Linked DNA regions of Caenorhabditis elegans. The protein of the gene in region 2 interacts with the protein of the main gene of each other region in a pairwise test. Each region holds a gene or a part of one and is shown on either strand. Other genes may lie near its edges.

Evidence for each region. The genes of interacting proteins can lie anywhere in the genome.
Region 1: the proteins of lin-2 (region 2) and rnp-8 interact in a two-hybrid assay, tested with the Caenorhabditis elegans proteins (3 studies listed by BioGRID).

The regions. Positions count from the first base shown.
Region 1 is NC_003279.8:362,549-366,303, forward strand, and holds the start of rnp-8 (RRM domain-containing protein), read left to right. Parts: upstream 1-1,961; 5' UTR 1,962-1,970; coding exon 1,971-2,131; intron 2,132-2,187; coding exon 2,188-2,643; intron 2,644-2,982; coding exon 2,983-3,048; exon of another isoform or gene 3,049-3,095; coding exon 3,096-3,412; intron 3,413-3,755.
Region 2 is NC_003284.9:12,412,338-12,416,092, reverse strand, and holds the start of lin-2 (Protein lin-2), read left to right. Parts: upstream 1-2,051; 5' UTR 2,052-2,067; coding exon 2,068-2,141; intron 2,142-2,192; coding exon 2,193-2,305; intron 2,306-3,107; coding exon 3,108-3,291; intron 3,292-3,755. UniProt on the Caenorhabditis elegans protein: May play a structural role in the induction of the vulva. May be required for the localization of signal transduction molecules (such as let-23 receptor) to either the basal membrane domain or the cell junctions.

The DNA of each region.
Region 1 (3,755 bases), on a different chromosome or scaffold from region 2:
AATAGAAGAAATACGGTATTTTTAGTTCCTTTATTTTTTCAACGAGAAAATCAAATGAGGCAAACGCGCTGCAATGAAAATTTAAATTTATTTGTGCGCGCATTTGAAAAAACTCATTCGGACGCAAATAATATTCACGAATTTAAGCTGAAATATAATATCAGGGAAATTTTTTTGTTTTTTTTTCATACAGATATTCTGAATCAGAGGAATTTTTTTTAGTTATTTGAAAATATTTCCTAGATTTCGGAAATCAAAACAGCAGCTTTTGTACAACAGCTTTTTTTTAAATGTAAAACTTGTTTAAAAGTCAAACCACGTCCATTTTAAAAATTAATTTTTTAACTTATAAAATAAAAACATGTGGAATGCTTTTGCATGTACATTTATACAAGTTTTTTGAGAAAAATACATTTAAATTTGAAAAATGTGTTTACTAAAATTCTGATCAATTTTTTTGTTATTATATATTAATAGCTGAACTTTACTTTAAGACAAAAATTCCTCTAATTAAAATCTACCTTCAAACCATTTTTTCAGTTTTTGCAAATTCTCCTCGGAAATCGCAGTAGGACTGGGAGCTAGATCATTGAGTGGCGAGAGAAAATCACGGAAATTTTTCAGGCGATTTTTCAGGCCCCATGTTGCCTCCCATCCGTATTTTGGTTTCATGAGAGATTGGAGATCATGAAATAAATGCAAAAAAGCATCCAGCGAGGTGGTGATCTTTTTCAGTGATTCTCGCTGTAGTTGAAGATGTGGGAGCTTCTTAAGTAAATTTACAGCTTCTTCTCTATCCTTATAAACTTTAGTGTTCTTCCTTTTCCCGACAATCTCCTCGAAAGCTCTCTGCTCATCCCATCCGCCAATAGATTTTGTTTTGTAGAAACTTGAAATCCTATCAAAATCGATATCCCGATCTAATAGCTGATTCGTCAGATCCGTAGAAGCGATTTCGCCGCTGAGAAGCCCATCGACGATAAGATAGCAGTTAAGGAGCGGTGGTAGTGAGCTCATCCAGTGAATCCACAGGTTTATGGAGTCCTTTCCGTAGACTGAAATTATTTTTAATATTAAAGTAGAAAAAAATTATTATATAAACTAACTATACGCAGGAAAACTCGCATTAAGTTCCAGATTTCGATCGAAGAATTGTGGATGTCCAGCTGGAAATTTTTATTTAAATTTAGTAAATTTAGTGAAGAAATTTAATTTAAAAATACCTGTCAAGCGCTGACCCTTAATCTGCTCCAACATTTGAATACCTTGCCGCTCCCTTTCCGAAATTTCGAGATCTCCGCAGTGTTTACCCGGTAGAAAAACAAGAAGAAAGGGAATTATCGTTATAATCATCGTTATCTGGAAAAAAATTAATTTTCATGGAATATATTTCAAATTTTCGACAACCAAACGCTGAAAATTCACATTTTTTTCAGGAAATTTGGTTGAAAAATCTGTTTTTCATAATATTTTGAGAAAAAAACAAGCGTAAAGGTATTCAAGGCGCATGCAATTCACTTAAGCCAGGGTCTCGAAGCGAACAGAAAACATACGGTATTTGAAAATATTCTTGTTTTCCGCGGAAAGTCGCAGAATTTAATTTGATTTTTTTAACTTAAAAAAACAGAAAATTAACCGTTATACCTTTTGAGCAAAAAATTCTACAAGATAATAATTTAAAACAATTAAAAATTGAATAAACATTGAAAATTAAATGCTTAAATTTCAAGGCGCGTGCATCAAACTTTTGTTTGGGTCTCACACCGAATGTAACAAGTACGGTAAGAGTGCGCGCTTATTTTCATTTTTCGAATTTGTGCGACCAGTTCTCATGTTTTTTAAACGATTTTTGCGGTAATTTTGGCCATTTTTTCTAGTTCCCACCGACAAATTGCATTATTTCCGTATTTTCAACGAAAATTTTGTTAAAAAACCAACAAAAATTTAGAAAATTGCATCATTTTGCAGGGATGAATGGTCAAGCGGATCGCTGCGACCGAACCGCCTACGTTTCGGGTCTTCAGCCGACAATCTCCGACATAGAACTGTTCGAGGTGTTCAATCGTGTCGCTCACGTCGAGAAGGTCATCGTTCGCAATGGAGCCGCCCGTCACGCGCTCATTGTTTTCAAGTTGGCATTTTTTTTCCATTTTTCCTCATCTAAATCTCTAATTTTCCTATTTTCAGAACTGTTCAAGGCCTGTATCAGGTGCTCGTAAACTTTCAAGGAACAACTCTTCACGGCCGTCAGCTGCACATTCGTCCACTGCGAGAAAGTTCGCACGCGAACAGCGAGGCCATCTCAACGATGTTCGAGAAGGTCAAACATCAGGGAAATTCCGGGAATTCTTCGTATCGTCAAGAGCACTCGTTCCCCGAGTACCGAAACCAGAACCCACAGGCTTCATCATACCTTCCACCGAATCCACGTGGTCATCGAAACTCGACGGGCTGTTTCAATGGTGGCGGCGGGGGCTATGGACGCCGACGTTCCGCCGGTGGATACAATCAGTACAATCAGAACAAGTATCCGAACGAAACGTACCCGGGAATGACTCTGTTCGATAATCATCCAGTGCAGCAGTATTCGGGCTTCAATCCCATCGATTTTCGCTTTGATGACTATGTGGAAGGAGCCAAAAGGTGCAAAATTCGCCAAATTTCGCTAAAAAATCTGAAATTTCGCCGACTTTTCCCGTAGCGCAGCAGTTTTTTCTTGATTTAGGCACATTTCAGGCAATTATTTTCGGCAAATCAATATTTTTCCACCATATATGTTCTAGAATGTTTTAGATGTACTAGATTTTATTTTCAGACGAATCAAGTGATTTTCTATATTTTTACACTATTTTTTGTTGAAATATGACCAGAATATGCAACAAAGTGTTCCAGCTGCTGCGAAAAGGAAAAATCGGCGAAATTTCGAATTTCAGTCTATTTTAATCTGTTTAAGCAAAAAGAAAACTAATTTTTAAAATTCAGATTCGACAACCTTGCCAACCTGATTCGCTCGAGCACCCCCACGGATCCGTTCGCTAATTATCAAAAGTATTTTTGAATTATTTTGAAAATCAATAAATTGGTTTTTTTTTCAGACCTTGTGAATCCACAAGCACATCTCGTTCTCGTACGAATTCAGCAAAAGATCAAAAGCATGGCCCGCCAACGTGGAAAATGGAGCTGCAGATTAAGAAAGATGACCACCACCACGCCGGCGGCGGAGCAGCAACCACAGGACAGAAGCTGTCCCCACAACAGTTTTTGGCTCAGATAGCTCAGAGACAACAATCGGAGCAAAACGCGGATGAGGTGGCCAAGAAGAAGCGTCCGAACCTTTCGGTTATCAATCCATCGCTTTTCTATGAGCAATACCCGAGAACATCGTCGCCAGTTGTTTATGCTTCAAAATCTAGTAATATTTTTTGGAGATTTTGGGAAAAAAACAAATTTTCTCGAAAATACGCCCGAAATAGTGTTTCACGCGAAAATTGGCGATATTTCAATTTTTCTGAAAAATTGCTATAATTTTTTCGATTTTCACGTGAAATTGCAAGTTTTTGGATATTTTTCTCGAAAAACGTCAATTCATCGATTTACGCAGCTAGTATACTCAGCAATTGACCATTTTTTTGCAGACAATTTGGTATTTTTTACTTAAAATTCTTGATTTTCGACTTCTCGTGTGCTAATCACTTTTTCAAATGCGCGCCCGAAGAATTTCTCATTGGAGCGTGCTTGCTTCGTGTAGATTTACG
Region 2 (3,755 bases):
ATCCAATGAATTGTTTTGCATCGTCCGTGCATCATAGAAACAGGTGTTCATCGTGTTTATCTTGCAAACTCACCCAACCGACACTCATAAAACTGTGTATCTCTGGAGACTGGGAGAGATAACATCCACTTTCTACTCTTTGTCGAGCCTCTTTCATCCAGTTTTTTTCCGGTGTCAAAAAAAACTTCATATTTTCTTTTTTTTCATATTTATTCGTTTTTTCTTTCTGCTTTGAGATTTTGTCATATCTTACAAATCCAAGAAAAAAAAAAGAAAAATGTAATATCTTTCCTTCATCCCTTCCTTTTTATGTAGTTATTTATGTCTTCTTCTTTAATTAAATTTGTTTTTTCTTCTTATTTCCCATTATTTTGCTAACACCTTATTTGTTGAATATTCGATGGAGAGACTAATAATTGAACATTTTTGCATCCCAATTTTTCACAAAGCTAATATTTCGCGGTTTTTGATAGTTGTTTAAGACTGGGATGTATAGTTGGTGTTTCAATTTTGTCTACTCAGTTTTTTTTTCAATTTAAAATTGTTTTTGAAACAAAAACGTAAAAACCATTACATAAAAGTTTATAAGTAATTTAAAAGTTCCATTAAAAACAAAAAATAACCATGGTATAATCAGAGTATACATATATTGGGCATTTCAGAAGCAATAACTTCCAAATAACTTCAATGTGAACTGGAATATATGTAGTGACAAAATGCGAAATACTTAAATTGTGTAAGAGTTTAGTGTATACAGATTAAAATAAACTGACAAACTAAAAAAAAATTATAAAAGTATATATATATATGTCAAAAATTTGAGACTAGTAGTAACCTTAACAGTAAACATATTTTCAGCATGTTTTTGGTATAGCTCTGCACAAAATGGTAGTTTTATGAAATTATTGTGCTCAATGTTATTTCCTTGAAATAAATCTCGATTATTTTTTGAATAGTTACACTTTTTGGTTGAAGTTATTGCACCAAATGGAAATGAATTTTTCAAAAAGTTTTAAGTAGACGTATGAAACGGAAATAAAAAGAGTATGCAGAAAAAGATGCAAACCGAAATTGTTTGAAAAAAAAAACTTTAAAAAATGGCTTTGTTAGCCTTAAAGGAGTTATTGTTTTGAGCATTAGAATTAGATCCCAAGTCATTTGAGAACGTAGGAAAATCAAAATGTAGGTTTCTCTATGTAATTGATCGTAGTAAAACCCATGCACGTAATTGCTTCTATTACATTACATTACGATTTTCATATCAAATAATTTTTTTTCAGCATCTCTCAAACTTAAAGTTTAGTGTTTTGAAAAGATTTCAAATCTGTTTACTGTTTTTGTTACAAATACATCTGGCTAACCCGCCAACTTTGAATAAACACGATACTATTCCGGCAAATTCAGGAATGTTTGCTAAATGACAAATACAGCCGCGTTTCAATAGGAAACTAGAGGTGGAAAAGATGAAAAGTGTCCATATTTGTCTTGATTTCCTCTGCCATGCCGCAATCAAACTTTCTTTCACATAGTTGTTCTGCTTCAATAATTTAAGATTGGATGGTTTGATTTTGCATTTTGCAGAAAATATTATGTTATAAACAAGAAAAAATCCTAAGTTTAACGATTTCCGTCCCCCACGCACTCAAGTTCATTAAAATTAATGACGTAATGCTTACCTCTTTTTATAAGACCGCAACATGAGATTTTCCATCAGACAAGTACCACCTCAAATCCTCAATTTTTTAGTTCTCGAAAGAATGTTGCGGGGTTGATAAAACATGAATCTCTCTTGCAATCATTTATTGACATTATATCTCCTCCTAACGATCAAATCAAATTGGCCGAAAGAAAACGCGTAGAGCCCCCCCCCCCCCCCCCGCCGCCGACCCAAAAAACTGCCATTTTCTCTCCAGTCTCTCTATTTCAATATTCATGCGAGCCTGATATGCTTTTTCAATTTAATAATCATTCACTGTCCCTATGAGTTTTTTTCTGGTTATCTCTTTTTTTTCTTCAACTTTATCATTTGTTTATTCACGTTTATCAGCATTTTTCAGCTAAAACAGAATGAGGGAGCTTGACCCGGACGAGTCGAACCTTCTCCTCGATGAACAACTGTCGATCCGGGATGTGATAGAACAGTAAGATTTTTGAAAATTCAGTTAATTCTTGAAATAACTAAGAATTTCCAGAGGTCCATTTTCAAATGTATACCGAATACTTCATGGACCATCAAATCGAAAATTTTTACTGAGATCAATCAATTTGAATTTGTTCAGACAGCACACCGGGTTAGGATTTGAAGGTACAATTATTGTTATACAGTTGTTACATGGGGTACGACTACATGTAGTAGTCGTATTCCAAAAAAATTCTACGCACCTACTAAAATGATTTGTTCAATTCAAAAGTTGAAGCAGTGTACTTTTGTAGTAGCTGTAGTTGCTCTACTATACAAGTATCAAAAATAGTTTTCTCCCATTTTGATAAAGTCTTTTTTTAATTTTGGTTTTTTGTCTTTACAAAAATTGATAGGTTTTTGTAATGTTAATCGATCTAGTGATGAACTAATATCTTTCGAAAGGAGGCTCAAATGCAGTTAAAAAAAAGTTAATTAGAATAAAAATATCCAATTTCATTGGTTTTCATCCAAATACCATTGAGACCGTTAAAGAAAAGTTTCAACATTTTAAAAACAGGAAGTCATCGTTTCAACACACTGTCTCACAAAAGACTGAATTATTAGTTTTTGATGTTTTTTTTCGAATTGAACAAATTCAGGTGGTTAATACACTTTTTTTTTAAAGTTATGTTTTGACCTTTATTGTGGATTTTGAAGAATAAAAAATTTCTCAAAAAACAACCTGAGTGCACTTTTAAAAATTGAGAAAAAAAAAGTCCCCGCAGCGGATATTATTATTCTCGCCACCAGTTTTCCAATCAGAAGCGCACAAAATGTCCTCAAAGTTCTCATCTCATGAGCTCAGCAGCTCCAATCCCAATTCATCAATCAATCTATCAGCCATCATGTGTCATTTCGAACTTTGATCATTTTACCGAATCCGATCTAAATATAATTATTTCATTCCAAACCATCTCTTTTTCAGAAATCGACGAGGAAATTAGAATATGCCAAAATCTACAGCACCCTTACATATGCCGACTGGAAAAAACTATCAACAGCGTTCATTATCGACATATCATTTTTGAGAACATGGAGGGAAATGATATTTGTTTTGAAATAGTTCAAAGAGCAAGTAATGGATTCGTATTTTCTGAATATGTAGTAAGGTTTGTATTTTTACAATATAGACTGTGTGTCACGGCGTGTAAATTGGGACATCTGGCCTAGCGAAAAGTGAAAAGTGAGAATCCTAGGCCATGGCCGCTGCAAAGCGCGCGAAATTTGAATTTAAATTTTTAATATCATTGAAATTCGATGAATGAGACATTATAATGGATAAAACTGCAAAAATATATACAAAATTGTTTTTAAAATGGATAAATCACATATAACAACGATTATTTTCCTAAATAAAAGTGGAAATTCGATTTATTAGGCAATTATTAGGAAAATTCGACAAAAATGGCACATTTTTGAACTTTTTTCAAAAACTAGATCCACAAATTTTCTGAAATTTCACCAGATTACTCAGTAGACTACTTTAATCAAATTGTGTGCAAAAAATTCATACCCACCGTCACAAGTTCCTATTGAATTTTTCTATTTTAGCTCCGAAAACCACTAAAATTCG